Drosophila melanogaster: one gene and its partners. The protein of the gene in region 2 interacts with the protein of the main gene of each other region in a pairwise test. Each region holds a gene or a part of one and is shown on either strand. Other genes may lie near its edges.

Region 1 (6,483 bases), 2.7 Mb from region 2:
GTGCGCATTATGACGCATTCGCTCATATTTACTCTTACCTGTTTCGCCTTTCTCTTTCTTCTCTTTCATCTTGTGCGCCGAGTTGACGTCGAAAAACCAGAATCGTTTAAGAAATCTTGTGTTGGCCAATAACGGATAGTTGTGGGAAATGCCAGATTTGTCTAATCGTTAAAACCCGTGTGGGTTCAAGGAGGTTTTCAAGCATATGGGGTTCTTTGCTAAGCTGGGAATACAGCGTTTTTAATTCCGCACATTAAGCCAAGTTTACTATTCTACGTGATACAATATTATTTTGACCTTAAACTCTCGTGCCCGCAAATCGTTTACTTACCATCTTCTAATTGTAATTTCTATGTTAAGGCGGAAGAACTTTGTTCTTTACGATTTTGTTCAAGCGTTTATGGAAATGTTAAAGAGTCTTTGTTTGTCATAGTATAATTACTAACTTATTTTACACGTGGTAGAACCGACGTAATAAGAAACCCAAACCATAACAAATGATTAAATCCAAAGGCGTCATTAAATAAATAAAACATTTATTACACAACGAACTTTAAAAGTGTGTCAATATAATTAGTGCATAAGTATCTTAACTAGTAAATAAACATGTCGGTTAAATATAATGTGTGTAGAGGTAGTTTCACATTTTGCATTTGGCTTAGATGCATTTAATATTGAGTGCGTATATAAATATAGGTAATTAATAATTAAAATGTAGTTTTTCACAATATACAAAGATATGCCTGGAATAATTTATAGGAACAAAAAATTTGTTTATGGGTTTTCATGGCCTAGCTGCTCTCGGATTTTCCAGATTAAATATGTCTTCAGTAAACCAGGCGGATGGCCTGCTGTCCGTGGTAAATATCGCTCCTAACAAGAACTTCATAGTTGCTCAGACGGATCTCTTGGCCACCGAATGGGATCTGGAGGCATCGGTTGTAGGTCTCAATTACACCGGGTGTCAAGCTGCCGCAGTAGTGACCCCGTCCAATGTAGAGTGGTGCTCCGCCAGGTGTCGTTCCGGCCACAACTGCTCCAGGTGGAACGTTTCCGCCGTAGGATGGCACCCAGTGGTATTTGCCCTTGCCCACCAGCATTTGGTACGATGGCTCAATGATTTCACGACCCCCGTGGGCTATGTAGCCACATCCCTGGCTGGGAATGGCCTTGCCAGGAACATGGACACCACGGTAGTAGGCCCGGCAAACCAGCAATTGCTCCATGTTGCTGTCATGACCTCCAATCACGGCATCGGGAGAGTAATAATAGCCCGGTTCGGCTGATACCCAAACGTCATAGTTGTTGCCATAGCCGTAGGCGTCATATGCCGAAGGAGCAGCACACTCGGCCGGAGTGTAGGACGAGCATCCCGCCTCGTAGGGATTATAGGTGGAAGCGGGTGTAAACGATGGTGCCACGGGAACGGATACTGCGGTCACCTCTGCGGGAACAAATGATGGCGGTGGCGCCACCTCAGCTGGAGTGAACGATGGAGGAGGAGGTGGCATGACCAACACACCACCTGCAGGCGGTGGTGGTGGTGGTGGTCGTGGCATGACCAGCACTCCTCCCGCCGGCGGTGGTGGGGTTGGACTCGGCATCACCATCACACCTCCAACGGGTGGCATGGGATCCGGAGTGGGTGTGTAGGCCGGAGGCCTGTCAGGAAATGGCATCGCAGCCAAATCCGGATATGGATATGGTTTGGCCGGCAGTGGCGGCGCCATTGCCGGTGGAGAAGGTGGTGGCGGCGGCGATAGTGGACACTTTTCCGGCTCCTCTAGTGGAGGAGGTGGTGGCGGCAGCTGCCAGCCAGGAACCACTCTGCGCTCCTCCACCAAAATCTCATAGGAATCCAGACGACGTTCGGCACCGCGAAAAGCGATGAACAAAGCTCGATGGACAGAGGAGATTTTGCCGATAATCAGATGACCCTCATAATGACCACGACCAATGTAAACCGGCTGATCCAGCGATGTGCGTCCACAGAGTACAGCATTCTCCGGAATCACATGATCGTAGCACTTGATCCACACCAGATTCTGACCGCACAGCACCTCGAAGATGTCCTTGGGCAGTGCCTCTCCTCGCTGCGAAATGAATCCCAGTTGCTTGCTCGGCACCACCTTGCAGACCAACATATCGCCCTCGTGCTCCGCCCTGCCCACGTATATCATGGCGCCGTCCTCATCGTTGCCGCCCACCACTGCCTCCTCGGGAAGGGAGGAGTAGGCCGAGGATTGAACCCACTTGTAGGCTGAAAGAAAGATGCATTTTGTTATTTGCTTATTCAGAAGTGATTAGTTTATCATAAAGGACTAACCAATAATATGCTATTTCATCTATAGACATGCAAAAAAATGATGTAGTAATTTTAAATTTCTTTAAAAGTAAATAATGTGGAAGAAAGGTAGAATATAAGGAAATGACCTTCATAGCAAGCCACTATCGTAGCTCATAAATTTTGTAAAACCTGTCTAATCCGACAGTCCATTTTGGCCATATCAGTATAATACATTTGCAGGGATAAGTATTTTAAAAATAGAAGGAACACAAAATGCCCACAGATTTCTTCCGGTATTAACAATCAGTTTATTTGGCTGCGATAACAGTTTGATCTAGACTAAATGCATATGGTATCTGTAGTGTTCCGTTCCTTTAGCTTATTGTCTGCAGAGAATCTCGTACGAGTTGATGCGAATCTCCCGACCTCCGTACGGAATATAGAGGCAACGCTGGCTGGCCGAGATCAGACCCGGTGTCAAACTGCCCTGGTAGTGTCCTCGCCCATAGTACAGCAGCTCTCCATTGCGAGCACGACCCGTGGTTACGGCGTTTGGTGGAATGCTGTGGCCGCAATTCATCCATACATATCCGTAGCCAGTGAGCACCTCGTAGCTGGGCTTCTGGAATTCGTATCCGCCGAAGCAAACGTAGGCGGTTCCCTTGCTCGGCACCACCTTGGCAGGCAGCATTTCACCCTCGTGCATTGCCCTTCCGGCGTAAATGGGAGTACGGTCGGAGTCGTGTCCGGCGATCACTGCGCCCGGAGGAGTGTAACTGGGCGAGGCCGGTACCCAGACGTCGTGCTGCTGCTTGATGAGCACCTCGTAGGTGTTGATGCGCACCTCCTGGCCGCCAAATGGAATGTATAGGCAGCCGTGCGATGGATGAACTTTGCCCACAGTCAAGCTTCCGGCATGATGTCCGCGTCCCACATAGAGCGGCTCGCCCGTTCGCGTCGTTCCGCTCCTCACCGCATTCGGTGGCACTCCACCGCTGGAACTGGGCACCCAGGCAAATCCCTGACCCACCAGCACCTCGTAGTGCGTCTTCGTGTGCTCCGCACCACCGTAGGCCACATAGGCGCATCCCTTGCTCGGTACGACCTTGGCGGGAAGATTCTCGCCTTCGTGAAAGGATCGACCCACATAGATGGGCGTGCGGTCCGAGTCATGGCCACCGATAACCGCGTATGGGGGCAGGGGGCTGTATGGAGACGAGTGCACCCAGGTGTTGTCTGCAAGGAGAAAGGCAGTAGGGCGATAAGTTTGATACCACGCGATAAGATAACCTATCTGTACACAGAGCGAAAACCGGAGAGTAAGTTTCGTGTCCTTTCCATTGGAAATATCTTAAAACTCTACTTGATTGATTTAAATCACTGTTATATTAATATTGTCTTGATAGATATTATATATTGTTATTAAAAAAAAAAAGATTAAGATTTACTAACTTCGTACTTTTTCAAAAGGTAAACATTTATCATCCCGAAGCTGCATTATTAAATGGATACGGTTTTGATTAAAAATTAAGTACAATGTACAATATAATGATTCACTCTATACTCATACTCTCATAGCTTTTTCTCCGTGTACATATTTGGCTTGCTGTACGGTTTTGCGGGTTTGGGTGGTTTTGGGTGGCCTAGGTGGTCTGGGGGCGGGGATCAAATGGGATTTGGGGTTTCACAGAGGCGTAGGGGTTTCACCCTGGGCTCACTGCACTCGTCCTACCAACGGTCACAACTCCTCCTGGCTGCACGGCGCCTGGAAAGAGCAAAGAAAGGCGGAGAACTGTAGAAGTCACTCAATGCTCTTTGCTTTTCTTCCGGCTAATGTGCACAGAGAAAAAAATCGCAATACCAACAGAATTGGTCAGCACTTGCGGATTTCTTCGCCCGTAATTGGGAAATTGAATTTAATTAAGCTAATATGCAACAATATATTTTTTGATTTTGATGATCTTGAAGGTAAATTACACTTATTTCATTAGACTTTGGCATTGCAAAATCATTTTTTTTTTTTTGGTTGCACTTATCAGAGGTTACTCATTCTACTTACCCATTGTGCGTTAATTGTTGATAAGTTATTCCTATGAAAAATAGTTTCTTTTATTCACTTGCGTTCTTCTGACTCCAAAATGCGTCTGAACTGACCAAAGTTTGTCTTTTCACTAAACTATTGGTTTGCAAAAGCCTGACGTTTAAAAACCGAACCAGAGCGATTCGTCACTGCTTCTTATCGGCGAGCTTTTATCTTTCAATTCGCATTTGTACATATATAAAAAAAGAAGTGCAGTTGATATTGGGACCTTTGCTATCACTAATTTTAACTTCCAGTCTCGAAAGCTCCATTTCCAGAAAAGCATTCCATTTATCGATCGAAAATGAATCATTGGCCCAAACAGGCGGTACTTTTGGGAGTAAAAGAAAAAAACAAGTAAATCGAAGCATGTGGACATTGTTTTAAATGTTATTGTTGTGCCCTCTCAACAGGTGGAACCCCAATTAAATAGACCCATAAACAATATGACGCCTGCCAGAAGCGCCCATGCTCAAAAAATCCCCCCCGTTGAAGGGGCGATAAGCATGTCGAAAATTTGTACTTTTAATAGAAAAAGGATCATTCATTTTGAATTATTTTTTACCTACTGAAATATTAAAAATAATCTTTAAACCTTTAGTGTAATGTATGTGCTTATTTTATCTCTTTTAATTAATAATTTCTTTGTAATAACAAACAAACTGATTTCAAAGGACATATGTATGTATGCATTTATGTAAGGCATAAAAGGCATTAAAAAGTATAAATATACATATGTGACTCAGCGGTAACGATATCAATAACTTTATATCGCAATTGACTCATCTTTAGACCAAACAAGTGTCTGTAACTTTACAACAGTTACAGTTAGTTTTCCAAAGGTTTCTCAATTATTAGGTTTATGATTTGAATAATCCACAAGAAGGTTAGGTAACTGTTTACATGTTGGTTCTTATTTTTGTTCTAGAAAAGCATTCCTGAACTTATAGTTGATCCATGGACAGCCACCCTCATACATATAATCTTTTACGAACTTATTGATGAAGTTTATTTTTGACTACCGGCGATAAGATTCGTAGCCAACTGCTTATAGATAAAACCCGCAAAAACAAAAACAAATATTCATGCACAAGATCGATTGAGTAATTTTGGTTGCGCTTCCTGTTTAACCCAGAATTTAAATTGTTTTTACCAAACAAAATCATCCAATATACATTCTGACACACCTGTCAGTTGGTCGCAATGACGAACACCCTCTACGACATGAGGATACCTTTGTGGAACACACACAATCGAACGGTTCAGAGCAGTGTGACTAAGATATCTTATCACTGCCGGCTAACTTGCCGAACTGATAAGCGGAAACAACAGCTTTTAAGGCGCAACCGATGTGCGGGTAGCGACCAGTCGTTGAAGTCAGCCCAAACATAGCGGAGCCAGCGAGTATATAACATCACGTTCCAGACCTAAATCAACATACAAAAAAAGCACACAAATACAACATGGGAGGTGAGAACTGAAGTGCAAAGTTAGTGACTAAGATAATTCTGGCGAAAACGAAAGCATAGTGCCGCAATTAGTCGTGACAAGTGGGCAAGTGTCATCGATACTCCGCGCACCTGACAGCCGAAATCCCTTGGAGCTTTGGTAGCTTTCCATAGATCCAGCGATTCTACACCCTGACAAATAAAAGACAAAAAACCTCTACTGTGGCTGATTAATGGTGTACAGTTGGCCCTCGTTGGCCCAAGTTAACTTATCGCCTCTGACCTTGCTCTATATATATATTTTATTCGCCCTCAGACTACACCTGGATTAGCACCAACGTTTACGGATCCCTGCCCCCAGGAGCCATCCTAGCTGGCCACGACTCCGACCAGGATCCCATCTTTGTGGGCCGTGCCTACCACAATGGAGAGATGCTGCCAGCGAAGGTGGTGCCCGGCAAGCAGCAGGCCTATGTGCCATGGGGCGGTCAGGAGATCAGCAAGCATGACTTCGAGGTCCTTGTCGGTGATCACTTCTCCTGGATCCCGTCCAGTGGTGGATCTGTCCCGCCCCATGCCATCCAAGTGGGCCAGACTGGCGAGGGTGAGCCCCTGTACGTGGGCCGTGGTTACTTCCAGGGCAGCCTCACCCCCGGCAAGGTCCATCC
Region 2 (4,813 bases):
AACGGGCGGCGGCGACGGCGATCGCGGTAGTTCACCTTGCTCCTGTTCGCGCCGCGTCATCTCGATCAACTCGCGCACTTTGTCCATATTGCGAACGAACTCCTCGCGCGTGGCCGCTAGCGGCGATGCTGCCCCGAAACTAACAGTCGATCCACCAGATACATTTGTATCTTTTGCTAATTGTTCTCGATCGGCGGGAGTGGGCGTCGGCGTCGGCGTCGGCGTTGCGGCGCTCAGCAGCGAAGACTGCGAACTGGCGAGCGTCGGGTTGGCGTTAACAGGTGTGCTCTCGCGACTCTGCTCGCCCTCTCTCTCCGTCTCCGTTTCCGTTTCCGCTTCCGTCTCGCTCCTGTCTGCAGTAGTGGTACTAGTGCTGCTCATCTCATCATCCGGCCGAGCAATCAACCGACTGGCATCCGTATCCAAGTCTACGAGGGCTCTCTCCGCCAAGGCGGCAGCCTGCTCTAGTTCTAGTTCCATGAGGTCAGAGACGCTGCTGGAGGCCGAGGAGCTTAGGTAAACTAGCTCCGCATCTTCAGACTGTGGAGACAGGGCGCTCTGCAGTCGGGTGCAGCTCTCCAGATCGGTTGACTCCTCCAGCAGCTTGGTTTCGAGCTTAAGAGGCGACGGTGCCTCCTCCCTACGCTTGTGTCTGCGACTAAAGTCCAACTGACTCCTGGGAAAGGTCTCGTTTAGCTTGGGAGTGCGGATCCCCGTCTGATCGCTTCCGCCAGAGGAGGCGGTGGAGTTTCTCCATTCATTCTCCTCCAGGATGCTGTCCAGATAGCGGGGATTGAGCAACTGCGGCATGAAGTGCGATTCCAAAGCGTTCCGATACTGGGCACGTTTCTGGCGCACCTGCTCATGCTGCTCTACTCGGCTGCTGGACGGCACCTGCTGATCCGACGGCGATCGCTCCGGTCCCAAGACTACCGATCCCTCTGATTCCGAGTCTACTTCGCATACCAGCGGCGACTGCAGGGAATTGAATTCCCCGGAGCTGAAGTCGCTGTTCAGTTCCATTTCCTGGATTTGCACATTGCGCGAGAAGTTCGAAAACTGGCCACTTGACACGTTCTTCGGCGACTCCACCAAATAACGAGGTGGTGGAGATAGGGTTCCGGCCAGAGAACCGGTAGTGCTGCTAACCTCCTCGAAAGTGGGCTTGGCATTTTGCTCTTCGTCGGTGGTTTCCACGTGTATCTGGTGGATAATCACCTTGGAGGTGGGCTTCTGTGGAGGAGGCTGCTGGGAATAAGGATCTTCTGTTTGAAACTGAACTTTTATTGTTACTTCCTTTGGGGATTTCGGTGCAGTGTCATCATTTTGCTGTTGGGCGTTATTCAAAATGGGTTCCTCTTTCACATCATGATGCAGTTGCTGTGCGAGGCCCTCTTCTCTCTTCTTCGGATCTACAAGGATTTGTGGAACTGCAATATTTTGCTGATGCGCTTTAGTTGATTCCTGTAGGTGCTGTGCTTCATTTTGCTCCTGCTGCTGTGCATTTTGCTCAGTGTCTCTCTGTTTTTGATAACTTTGCACGGCAGCAACGTGTTGCTGATGTGCATTTTCCACAAATTCCATTGCCTTTTCGAGTTGCAACACATATTGCTCCGGTTCCTTTGAATCGTGTTGCTCTTGCTGTGGATTATTGTCAGTGGTCTCATCCTTTGAGTAGTCCACTTCATCATAAACTTGTTGATTCTCTTCAACTTCGACATGTTTCTGCTGTGCGTCCTCCGAAAGATGACTAGATTCAGGAAGTTCCTTTGGACTCGGTTCATTTTCCCGTTCTTCCTTAGTTTCAATCTCCTGCTGAGCTTCAGGTTTCTCCTTCTTTGAATCCTCGACCTCCATGTGCTGCTCCTTAGATTCCACGGCTTTGGGTGGCTCTGGAGATTGAGCTTTGCCATTGGCCGTGTCCTCTTCCCTCACAATTCGATGAACTATGACCTTGGCTTGCCGGGGGCTACCGGGTGGCCTTCTTATAATGGTGGGAGGTGGACGCACCTGCTCTTCAGATTTTCCATTAGACGCCTGCTTATCGGACTTTTCCTTGCGATGTTTTGAGTTTTTGGCACCCATTTCTGCGTCTGAATCTGCTTCTTTTTGGATGACTGTTGCTGGTTGCTCGAATATTTCTTCTTTTTTTTCGGTTTTCTCAAGAGTGTTCGTCACCTCTTCGCTGTTTTCCGTTGGCCCATTTGAAACGCTGCCAGAATTTCCATTATCATCTACGAAGGAAGAAGATTGCGCTACTGCGATCTGAGTTTGGAAATCCTGCTGCTCCTCCCGATCCTCCGCCCCTTCTGCCTGCTGCTGATGGTTTTCGTTTTGGTTTTGGCTCGGATTCTGATTTTGATTTTGGTTTCGATTGCGTTTGTTGCGATTGCGATTGCGATTACGATTGCGGTTATTGGGCATCGTCTACGGCACTTTCGCTCGATCTGAACTAATGCAGTTTTCCTTGTGTGTGAGATATATATGTGTTTTTGTGTGTAAGTGAGTACTTCGTGTTTCGTGTTTCTTAATCAGCCAGAATCTACAGTACAACTAAGTGTTGTTTCGTTTTTCGGTGTCGTTTATTTCTAGTTCCCTCTGTGTGTGTCACTCGTCGCCAGAAACTCAAACAGAACTGAACTGAGAACCAGAACCGAGAGCCGGCGGCATTCTGCTCGCGACGACAGCCGGCAAAATCGAAAAAAAAAAGAAAATAAAAAAATAAAACAGCGACGTCGCTGCCGCTGCCGGCGTCTACGCCGCCCCGCCCACCGCCCACCGCCTGGCACGCGTCCGAAATCGTTATGTTTTTAGGTTTATTTTTCGCCGCCGAGATCGCGCCTTTGTCTCCGATTGCCTCGATATTTTTTCGCCAAATTAAATTGCGTTTTGAATACTAAACTTTCGCTCTCGTTTTGGGGGTATGTTCGATTTGAGCAACGGGGACACGGGGTGAAAAGTTTTTTAAATATTTTTTAAGATCGCGCTTCCCGTTCCTCGTGGCGCTGGCGACCGACGGACAAGGAATGGGCCGTGGGCTTTCCACGATCTCAGCCGGGAGCTAGCTCCCCAGTCTCCCACTCACACACATTTTTACAGACAGCCCGATTCGGATGCACAGTGGCAAGTATTTGAAAATATACACACAAAAAGGAAAATCGGGGAATTCATAACGATGCTCATGTTCACAATACATACATGTACGTAGAAAACAGAAAGTCGTACGGGAGAGCGGGAGAGAAATGTGCAAAACCAAAACAGAATCAGAATCAGAATGCAGGGTATTCCAAAGACATCAAAATACCAAAGAGACCGAAAAAAAAAACAACAATATGACTTCTAGGTCAATGCAATTTTCACAAGCCAAACAAACTCATAAAATCCGAGATGAGCAGAAAAGAAACGCACGGCTCGAAAATATATTCGGCACATTCATAAATATTAGAAAATGTTTTTGGAACACGTACATAATTTGTTTGTGGAATTTAAGCTAACGAATATATGCTTTCGAAAATAAATTTTTTTAAATGTCACAAACACATTTTTGTCTTGAATTTCGGTTGATAAATGCTCAGGAATGAAAGATGTAAGACATTAAGAGAAAATAAAGAATTTAGAGGTCAAATGAAATCAGATAAACCGTTTTCCAACCACTTAAATTGTTTAATTTTTTAAGTGGTTGATCTAAAAAACTTTCGTGCAATATACCCAAAATGGCTCAATGCAGGGCATTAAGAAGAGAACTCAATACGGAAATAGTTTGCCACAGTTCGAGTTTGCTTATATGTATCTTCTGGCCGATGTGTGTGCTTGTGTATCTGATGAGTCTGCGCTGGCTGTGTATCTATATACAACTTATGGCATTTTAAAGATATTTTTCGTGCGTAATTTCTTTGCTTTTTGTGGTCACAAGTCTCTGTTTTCGGTGTACTCTTGAATAATTGAAGCAACATATATCCACGCGCATATATGTATGTATAGCTCTCCCATGTATCATCCCAGTGGGCCATGCGGTTAGTAGTATTCCGCTTTTATTTTTAAAGGTACTTAATGGCTTTCAATTTCTCTTGTTCTGTCTGGCCCACAGCCCCATCATCTCCATTAACTTCCTCCGACCAGAACCAATCCGAACTGAAGTATCTTCGCGGGTCTGTCAGGTGCCAGACGAACCAGACACGTGATGTGGTGGTTTTGGCCCGGGCATTATGCAATTTCTGCACAGTGTGACAGACACGGGTATACCAATTAGGGAATACTAAACGATCGCTTTCCCCTCCTCAGAAACCCACTCACTTAATGTGTATTCTCAATTGGTTTCGGTTTCCGTTTGGATTTCGTTTGGGCCCCACCAAGTTGCCTGAATCACTGACGTACGACGAACATCCAAGTAGCCGCTATCTATATCTGTGGATCCATTGTAGCGGCTTCTATTTTCAGTTTTCTTGCCCCGTAATATCAACAAATTTGAAATTGATTTCTACGCCTCGCCCAATTTGCTGTAGAACAGCACACATTTTAGTTATCTTTTCTGGGCTATCGCTGATAAATTTTGCATTTTTGATAAAGAACGTGAGTTGTGTGCGAAAAGTTTTGCTTTCAATGAAAGTGGTTTTTGTGGAATCAAATGCAGCTAGCAAGATAACTTCTTGGGAAATTACTAAAGATTGAACTGTGATATCTAAAGATGGATAGAGGGGTCATCAAAAGAAGCCTTTCATGAAGATTTGATTCGACAAATGCGCTTGGCAGAAGATCTGTGATTCATTTCTCGCTTGGGAATTTCTTTACAGAGTTTTTATCTTCCCTTAGATAA
Region 3 (3,658 bases), on a different chromosome or scaffold from region 2:
TTCTCAGGGAGCTTAAGGACTTCGTCGCGGCCTTGGACACCCTGGACTTCGATGATTCATTCGAGCTGAACAGACTGGAGGATGCTCTTGAGGAACTGGAAAGCATCATTTCGATTGCAGGCAGCAAAGAATTCGAATCGGAAGCTGACGAGGTTGTCGTTCAGCTATTCATACAGCACGGAGTTGAGGACCTGGAGCAGATCCTGGAAAGAAACTTGGAAACTACTCTGAAAATCGTAGAGCAGAAGGTGGAGAAATACATGAGCACATGGTCCGACAGTCGGTTGGCCAGGAACGCGGCGATGGTCAAGCAGTTTAATGACTTTAAGAACGAAAAGGATGTCTATGAGAAGCTGGACAAGTTAACCAACTCTGATTTCATTTGAATAAACATATCATGTTTCAAGTACATTTAAGTTTAAACCAAATAACTACAGATACATAGTCCGAACGTATATATTATTTCCAGAAACTGCCTTGCAAATATCAAAACCAGTAGTCCAGAGTTCATGTTTTGTATTAGCACGCTCGCCGGAAGCTAAAATTTGATTACATATTGCAGCTGATTTAACAATCAATGAGCATATAATAAATACGCTAGTAAGTGTTTACTACTTAGTGCAGGTATGACGTAAGAAATGTGGAATTCATTTTACAAAGGTATTGAATACCTTAATATACCTTTTTTAGATTTGTAAGCTGTCAGGTTTCAATAGCTTTGAAAGTTTTACTGACTTTCTATTCAATACAATTGTTATTTAGTCTGATAAATAAACCGTGCGGAAAGTAAAATAACTGATTATTTGTAATGCCAAGAATCTTTACATTACACACAGACAAGTCAGTATAATCTCTAGCAGCCTTAACTAGTTGTTTTTGAGAACTCGGAACTTTCATTCATCAGCTTCTCTTAGGAAAGGTGTTAAAAGTTGCGATAAGATGATCCAAATCCATCCCGCGAGTCGAACACATCCCGCTCGATTTGGGGAGGTCCTCTTCCATCCGATGTGTAGCTATAGGATTCGCTCCGGTAAAAGTTGTTAGAAGAGCCCCCGGAACCAAGGGGACCACTTCTACCAGTCGGAATACTGGAACCACCGGCGATAAGGGGGATAATGGAACCACTGGATGGCATAGGTACCTGGAGAAGGTGTATTAGTTTTTTAGTTAGGAAAACGATTGCACAAGATTACCGGTCGAGATACAAAGGTTCCTAAGTTTTGATTGCGGAATGGGGAGTCAGGAATTGGTCGAATGCCTCTGCCACGGAAATCCGGGGAACTGGGAAAAGGTCTGTTGTCGAAGCCGCTGCCTCTGGGACCCACATTGTAATCGGTTTGGAATGCATTGTCATAGTTGGGTTGCTGAAATAGTTCAATCGTCAATCGGATTGTAATACTATGTGTAACTACTTATAAAAACACTTACACGAATGGGGAAACCGTTGGATCGGGGAGGGATCTGAGGATAAAACGGTCGAGGTTGGAAGGGGATAGGTCGGAGTGGAACGTCCTCCTCTTCGTAGGTGTCGGTCACCTCCTCCACTTCACCGCTAGATCTCTTCAAGGATAATAAATATATATTTATTTCCATTTATATTAAGTGTATTGGATGAGACTCACCTCTAGAAACTCGACATCGTTATTTGCTTCGGCCAGGGCAGAGCTGTTTCCGCCATTTAAGGATGATCTATTAGAAATAGGTTTGTTGCTCGATTTCGGACTCACTGGCTTGAAGAGATGCGTGGGAATGTTGATAGTTTCACGAGGCACCCTTAGCTGTGGATTATGGAATATTGCAAAGAAGATACTATCTAAATTGTTTGCTAGCAAACTTACCTTGGGATCCGGCAGAGTGTGGCATATCTGAAAATATAGAACTCATTGAAGCCTAAATTGTGGAACAAACCGATGAATAGTTACCCCCTGAGCGATGAACAGACAGCCCAGCAAAACGAATTGGAGCGGCAACATCTCGCAGATCTCGACTGACACTCACGTCTCGAACTTCCGACGATCGACAGAACTATGAGTTGACTGGGTGGAATGCGCTGCAATTAAATGCAACCACGATCCCAACCCGTTCGACTGGAAATCACCAAGGTGAGAGCGTCGGGGCCCGGGGTTATCAGCCTGGGGATTACACGATAGGGAAATCAGAAGCCCATAACTCAATCTCATATGCGCAAATCATCAATTATCATTTTCCCGAATCTAGGAGCCTTTAACTTACTTACTAGTTCTTAATGCACCGAAAGAAAACTCCAAGCAGTCCCACATTCAGTGAAGAACCTTGTACTCAGATTTACACGATCGAAAGCATTAAATATTATATGCAAATATTAAAAACTCATGAAAATATAATCTAAAAGTTGTTTATTGTGTTAGGAAGTACATTTCAAGATTGAAATAAAACTAAGATATTATTGACTATCTGGACTCGGAGATTTTTCACAGTATTTATCGGAGAGTGTTAGTAGAGTCCGTAGCCGTAGGGCGAACCATATCCGCCTCCTGGACGCGGAAAGCTGGGCACAGAGATCACTGGTCTTCGGGGAATCAAATAGACCTGCGGGTAGCTAAATCCTGGTGGCTTCAGAGCCACATCCTCGTCCTTATCCTTTTCACCAGACTTGTCCTTGGGCTTATCTTCGCCGGAGTCTTCTTCGTGATCGTGATTGTGGTTGTGGGGGTATCCGAAACCGGGACTGGGAGGTCCGTATCCTGGGAAGCTGGGCCAGTTACGAGGCTGAGGGAACACCTGGGGTTGGTAGGGCGAGTACGGTGATCTGAAGGTCGGATAGGAGGGATATCCAGACAGCTCCGGCGATTCCTTGTCCGCATCTTTGGCAGTGGGCGGTGTGGTCGATGGAGGAGTAAGCTTAGGTCCCGCGGCAGAGAATATCACTCCTGGATGGGGGTAGGGATACTGAATGGGGTAGGGATAGGGGTGAGGATGCGGATAAGAATGGGGATGAAAGTGGGGCTCATGCTTATGGGGCTTTGGCGTTGTGGTGGTGGTCGTCGTAGGGGTCGTGGTTTCCGGTTCCGGAGTGGTGGACTCTGGAAGCGCAGATCCATCATTGTTTTGTTGCAAGCCATCATCCAGTTGACCCAGTCCGTCATCGGGAGCAGCGGTGGCCTCACCCTCCTGCTCTATTGCGGGCTTCGTGGTGGTTTCTGGCTTTGGAGTTGTGGTTTCCGGCTCGGGAGTGGTGGTGGTCACCTTCTTGTGGGGATGATGAGGCTGATATTGGGGGGGCAGGTGGGGCTCCGGCAGATGCGTATCATCGGTAGTCTCCTCTTCGCTGTAAAGCGAGGCATCGATTTGCTTTTTAGCCTCGTCGAGCGACAACTGAGCGTAACTCAGCGCCAGCAGCTAGAATTAAAATGTATGTTAAGTTAATCATAGTTCGAGCCATTTTGTCCTGGCCAAGATCTGGCACCAACCTGGCTAATTAGAAGCAACTTGATGAACATCCCAACCGACTGAGTTCAACTAGCAAGGGCCAAGCGAAAACTGATTGTTCTCTGCCGGCCATAGCTGACTTATATAGCTCCAGAATCGCCCACCATTATGGAAATCGGTAAGCCAACAATTACAGACAGCCCCAGAGCAATCAGCTCTCTATCTCTCTCGAAAAACCCGATTGGCATCA
Region 4 (4,930 bases), about 11 Mb from region 2:
ATTGCGAGGAGCCAACTGCAAATAATACCGGCATTAAAGTGTTCAATAAAACATGTCAAATTTTAATTGTTTCGCGTGAGCAGTGGCATTTCAATTTTTCATCCTTTATCGCAGCAAATGCGTACGACGAGTGGAAACTGTTGCAATTTTATCGCTCATTTCACTCACTCAAATGGAATGGGAAATGCTGTGGGGGGTTGTTGGGGGGGGGCTTTTATTGTTTCAAGCGGCAAAATGGGGTAGCGGGCTTCTTTATTTTGACGTCGCTTTGCGTTTTTGCCATTTTAAATATTTTTTTAATCACAAGCTCACGCACACACACACATACACACGTACACAGAGAGAGAGGCAGAGTCGTACGTATTCAGTCACTCATACACAAGCTCATACATATGGCAATACCAATATTTCAAGCCAATTTGCTGCAGCTAGCCGCCAGCGGACTGCCAACAAAATAATTCGACAAAATGTGTGCGGCGCGCTTTATGCTTTATTGTTTGGATCGCTTGGGGGCAGTGCAGTGGGGTGGGCGGGCGAAGTGGGGGGTAGGTGTATATGGGTGCAAGGAGTCACATACATCAAGTACATATGTATATACATATATATAGATATATATAGAAAGATATATATTGTAGTAAAAGAGAATCCGCGGATCAGCTCAGAAATCAGCGTCGACATTTATACACTTCCTACGCGCTCGTTTGTAATTATTTGTTGATGGCTTTTTAAAGTAGCCCGCTCGCCACGCCCTCCCGCGGGCATACCGCCCACTCGCCTGCATATTTATTCAACGCTTGTGCATTTGCTTGTCAATCAATATCATACTGAATGCTGAATGGGAAAACACAAACATTTAAATGCCATCGCATATGCTGAGAATTTCCGCAGATTTTTTTACGCCACCCGCGACCGCCAACACCATCAGCATCAGCATCATCATTATTGTGATTTTTTATTATTACTATTATTTATGTGAGCACACACTCATCATCACAAGGCTGGGCAAATGGCAAATGTGTATGATGGGCTTTAAAATATACGAGTATGTATATATGTATATGTGTGGATGGGTGCGCACACATACAAGCGAACATATATTTTTTATTATTAACGATACCCAGCGAGGAAGCAACAAAAACATATATAGCATACCCATATATACACAAGCATATATATGAAAAGGCTCATAAAATTCACAATGTCTGGCCGCGGGGCTTTTACTTAATGATGCCATTTTTGCCGCCGCAGCCTGAAATTCGTGTTAAATTTTTAACGCACGACCGAACTGCAGCGGCAGTGGCAGCAAGCGCGACCACATATCAACCATCACAGCAATTCGGGCATCCATCCGTCCACCCATCCACCCATCCACCTATCAAAATATCCACCCATCCACCCATTCACCCATCAATTCATCCATATGTGGCACAACATTTACATTAACATTTGAATGGTAATCATTTTACAGGCAATGCGTGCCAAAATGAGGTGTTTGTTTAGCTTTTAAAGCTGTGTCCTTTTTATCACTCGCTGTCCTTTAAATTGATTAAATTATCAATAGAAGAATAACCACTGAATATCCTTTTGGTCCTTCATATTATGCCATTTATGCTAAGCTTACGTTTTTGGGAATTTGTTATATTCTAAAGGATTTGGCTTTGATTTAAAAATATGTTTCGATCGAAATGCCATAATGCAGTTGACATTATTTCAATTGTTTCAGTTTGACCCAAAATACTTTTAATGCACCATTTAATTCTAATGCAATACTTAAGTGCCTTAAAGCCCATACAAAAAGGTGGGTATAAAATGCATTAAACAAACTATAATCTGCCCAAAAGGAAAAATAAATATATATGATGGAGTGACTAAATAAAATATGGTTGTTTAACACAGGATTAATATTTATTCATGCAACGTATTTGGTAAATTGTGCTGAATTGTATTTGTTGCTTTATGTTTATTAGTTTGTTTACCAATTTCTTGGGGTCGGTGAAAGCTGGACTCTCGCAAATGAGAGTGCCTTTCAATTGAGGGGGCAAAAGTGGAACGGAAAGGGGCCTCTTCTGGAGTCGATTGCCGACATCCTTTTGTCATTAGCAATGCGTGACATTTGTCATTAACTGCATAATGATTCCTATGCAGTTTGGCCAACTTCTCCAACCAAACCCAACACACACACACACACACAGTCTAGCATATTGTACATAATAAGTGTGTGCGGATGTGAGGCATGTGTGTGTGTGTGTGCATAATTTTAATGATTTACAAACTAAGCCGGCGGCGTTTTTAGCTCGAAAACTGACAGTTGATACCCAGAGACAAGCAGAATGAGGGAAATATAACGCAAAAGAAGATATAGCCGCGAGTTATGAATGGGAGAGGACCAGTTCTTTATTTCCAGCTTCTTGGGGTGGAACGAGCGAACGGAACGGAAAGGATTGCTCGAACATGCAACTAAGATGGCCTAAGGACATTCAGAGGCAGAGGCACTGGCTGAGGCAGTGGCAGAGGTAATGCCGTAGAATGGGCAAAAATATGCAAGTTAAAAATAAGTTAAGTTTGAGTGGCTGGCGGCCCTGACGCAGCGTTTTGCATATAATGAGGGTACCAGCGCCCAGCTTTTTCACACTGCTTGTCACCTGCTGCCGGACTTTGTACATATGTATGTATGTGTATTTTTGTGCATTGGTATGTATGTAGATGAATTTTGGGGGACAAAAAAAAAACTGTGATTCTTTGGCCAGTTAGTTGGTAGCTGGTTGTGGGTAATTATAGGCAAACGGCACCGGCACTCGGTGTTGTTCTTAAATTATATGCCACTCATCTCTGTTTTCTGTTATCCTGCGCTGCAGCTGCCCCGCCCACTAATGTGGACACCCGGCCAGTTGTCCAAACACGTGCCGTGCAACAAGTTACCAGGCTGGGCGAAAACAAACGCAAAAAAGCATGTGGCAATAGCCAGAGACACTGTTATTCACCTGCTGCCGTTGTCGAAGGCAAAAGCAAACACCATCGGCACAAACACACTGAACCACCGTTGAGAAAAGACTGTTTTGGGGGGGCTCGTTGGGGTCTAAGTGCCGAGTGCCGTCGAGCGTGTTGCATGCAACATGGGGCACGACGCCAGCCGCAGCAGCAGCAGCAGCAGCAGCAGCAACATCTGGCGCAGCAGCGACGGCGGCAGCAGCAAAACGGGATGTTATCAGCCGCAACGTAAACACAACCACCACAACTAAGTATCCATATCCGCAGCAGGCGACTTCGATCGCCCGTCCAACTGGCCCGTTCCCTCCAACCCCCTTCCATGCACTGAAAGAAAAAACTATCTAAAAGCGTCTGTTTGTAACTGGCAGTCCATCTTGGACAGCAGTTGGTCTCAACTCTTTCAAATTTGCTCTCAGTGAAATACTTTAATTTCCTATCTAAGCAGCCGACTTTTGTTCCAGTGTGGTTGTTAGCCAAGCTAAGCTCGCGATGCGATGCCAATGTTCGACGCCGGAGCTCCAGCTTCGGTTCACCTTCCTCCTCGCCTTGCCCGCGGGCGTTCGCTTGTAATTATAATATTTCAACCCAAATGTGACCCGGGGCCATGCGCCAATGATGGATTTCAGCTCTCTGGTCCGCTCCGCTCCCCTTTCCCCTTCCTGTACCCAGCATATAATGTGGCATATATATATATATATATATATACATATTTATATATACACCGAAGAAAGACCGACACCCGAGATGCGGAGAGGTGCGTCGTGTGGTTCCGGGGTGGCTGATGTTGCTGCTGTTGCTGTGCAATTTGGTGCCGGCGGGCAAAGCGGATTGGCCTGCGGCCAGACATGTGAATAAAATTACATTCACTATTTTATATGCCACATGGCTTGTTGTATGTATGGCATTTATCGGTGTTTATATGTTTTGCCGGTGCCATGTGGAAAAATCCTATGTAGGTAGAAATAATTGAATTGGCACATCAGCTAAATCACTCTCGTCCATGTTTATATGTGTATGTCTTTATGGGTATGCCGGCCTGGAACCGGAGACGGCGGTCAGGGCAATAACAAGATTAGATCACTGGAAGAAGAGATTGCCCCCGGCCGGCAGGCAATGGAAAAGGGTTGAGCGAAAACTAAGCTGCCACTGACAATCTACAAAGCGAGGTCCGAATGGCTGCTACGAATAGTAAGTCCCCCTTCCGAGTCCATCGTTCGATTTAAGTTTTCCTCGGAACACACAGGCAGGTGAACATTAATCAAGCCAAACAACCAAATAACTTATGGCCCTGGCTAATAGAGACATTCGGCCAACTTCGAGGCCAGAAACAAGTCGGCCGAAGCTCTGGCCGAAACTATAAACCAGTGCTCACTTAGATAAACAAGATATGTGGGAGCAATTAGTGTTTATTAATGGTGATTTTCGAGATATTTGAATTTTTGGAAAATTGCATTTCAAATGGTAGAAAGAAAAGCAATTTGCATGAATACCTAGCATTCAAGACTTTAAATATTTGTATAATACTAATTAGCTATGAAAAACTTGTATATTTTTAACATATCCGATTGATTAAGATATACAACAAGTAAGCCTTTAATTCACTTACAAAGTGTGAGAGAATTCTATGCGGTAAGTGCGGCTTTTAAGTGCCACACAACGGTAAGTAGTAGCCCATAAATGCGTCCACTTTCATGTGTGTGTGCGTGTGTGTGTGTGGCGTGGTAATTAAATTGGCATTAATTAAACTTACGTCGCTTCTGTCGACGGCGCTGCTCAAGTGCCGCTCATTAAGCAATTAAGGGATAATTATCAACGCCGCGCCGTTGCCTTTTTGCAATTTTCATGCGCAAAGTGTTAAAATCACTTAATAGGCGGCCACATCCTGGCCTTCTGCTGTTGTTGTTGTCCTTACTTCCGCCGCCATTCGTGTGCGTGTGTGTGT

What was found.
Region 1: the proteins of CAP (region 2) and CG44251 interact in a two-hybrid assay, tested with the Drosophila melanogaster proteins (one large-scale study listed by BioGRID).
Region 3: the proteins of CAP (region 2) and CG10680 interact in a two-hybrid assay, tested with the Drosophila melanogaster proteins (one large-scale study listed by BioGRID).
Region 4: the proteins of CAP (region 2) and twz interact in a two-hybrid assay, tested with the Drosophila melanogaster proteins (one large-scale study listed by BioGRID).

The regions. Positions count from the first base shown.
Region 1 is NT_033778.4:12,947,827-12,954,309, forward strand, and holds CG44251 (uncharacterized protein), read right to left. Parts: upstream 4,468-6,483; 5' UTR 4,351-4,467; coding exon 4,347-4,350; intron 4,053-4,346; coding exon of another isoform or gene 4,020-4,052; intron 3,524-4,019; coding exon of another isoform or gene 2,667-3,523; exon of another isoform or gene 2,578-2,666; intron 2,384-2,577; exon of another isoform or gene 2,327-2,383; intron 2,261-2,326; coding exon 828-2,260; 3' UTR 522-827; downstream 1-521. Other genes in the region: CG44250 (uncharacterized protein), read right to left, coding at 2,667-3,523, 4,020-4,052, 4,347-4,350; CG13321 (uncharacterized protein), read left to right, coding at 5,831-5,837, 6,132-6,483.
Region 2 is NT_033778.4:10,276,952-10,281,764, reverse strand, and holds the start of CAP (CAP), read right to left. Parts: upstream 3,030-4,813; 5' UTR 2,425-3,029; coding exon 1-2,424.
Region 3 is NT_033779.5:19,962,546-19,966,203, reverse strand, and holds CG10680 (uncharacterized protein), read right to left. Parts: upstream 2,069-3,658; 5' UTR 1,974-2,068; coding exon 1,923-1,973; exon of another isoform or gene 1,866-1,922; coding exon 1,839-1,865; intron 1,779-1,838; coding exon 1,623-1,778; intron 1,561-1,622; coding exon 1,429-1,560; intron 1,365-1,428; coding exon 1,194-1,364; intron 1,142-1,193; coding exon 923-1,141; 3' UTR 502-922; downstream 1-501. Other genes in the region: OS9 (Olfactory-specific 9), read left to right, coding at 1-386; CG16772 (uncharacterized protein), read right to left, coding at 2,473-3,378, 3,450-3,479.
Region 4 is NT_033778.4:21,573,001-21,577,930, forward strand, and holds the start of twz (tiwaz), read right to left. Parts: upstream 3,036-4,930; 5' UTR 2,982-3,035; intron 1-2,981. UniProt on the Drosophila melanogaster protein: Functions with the transcription factor TfAP-2 to regulate octopamine neuronal signaling pathways that control behaviors such as male aggression, male mating, and the initiation of feeding.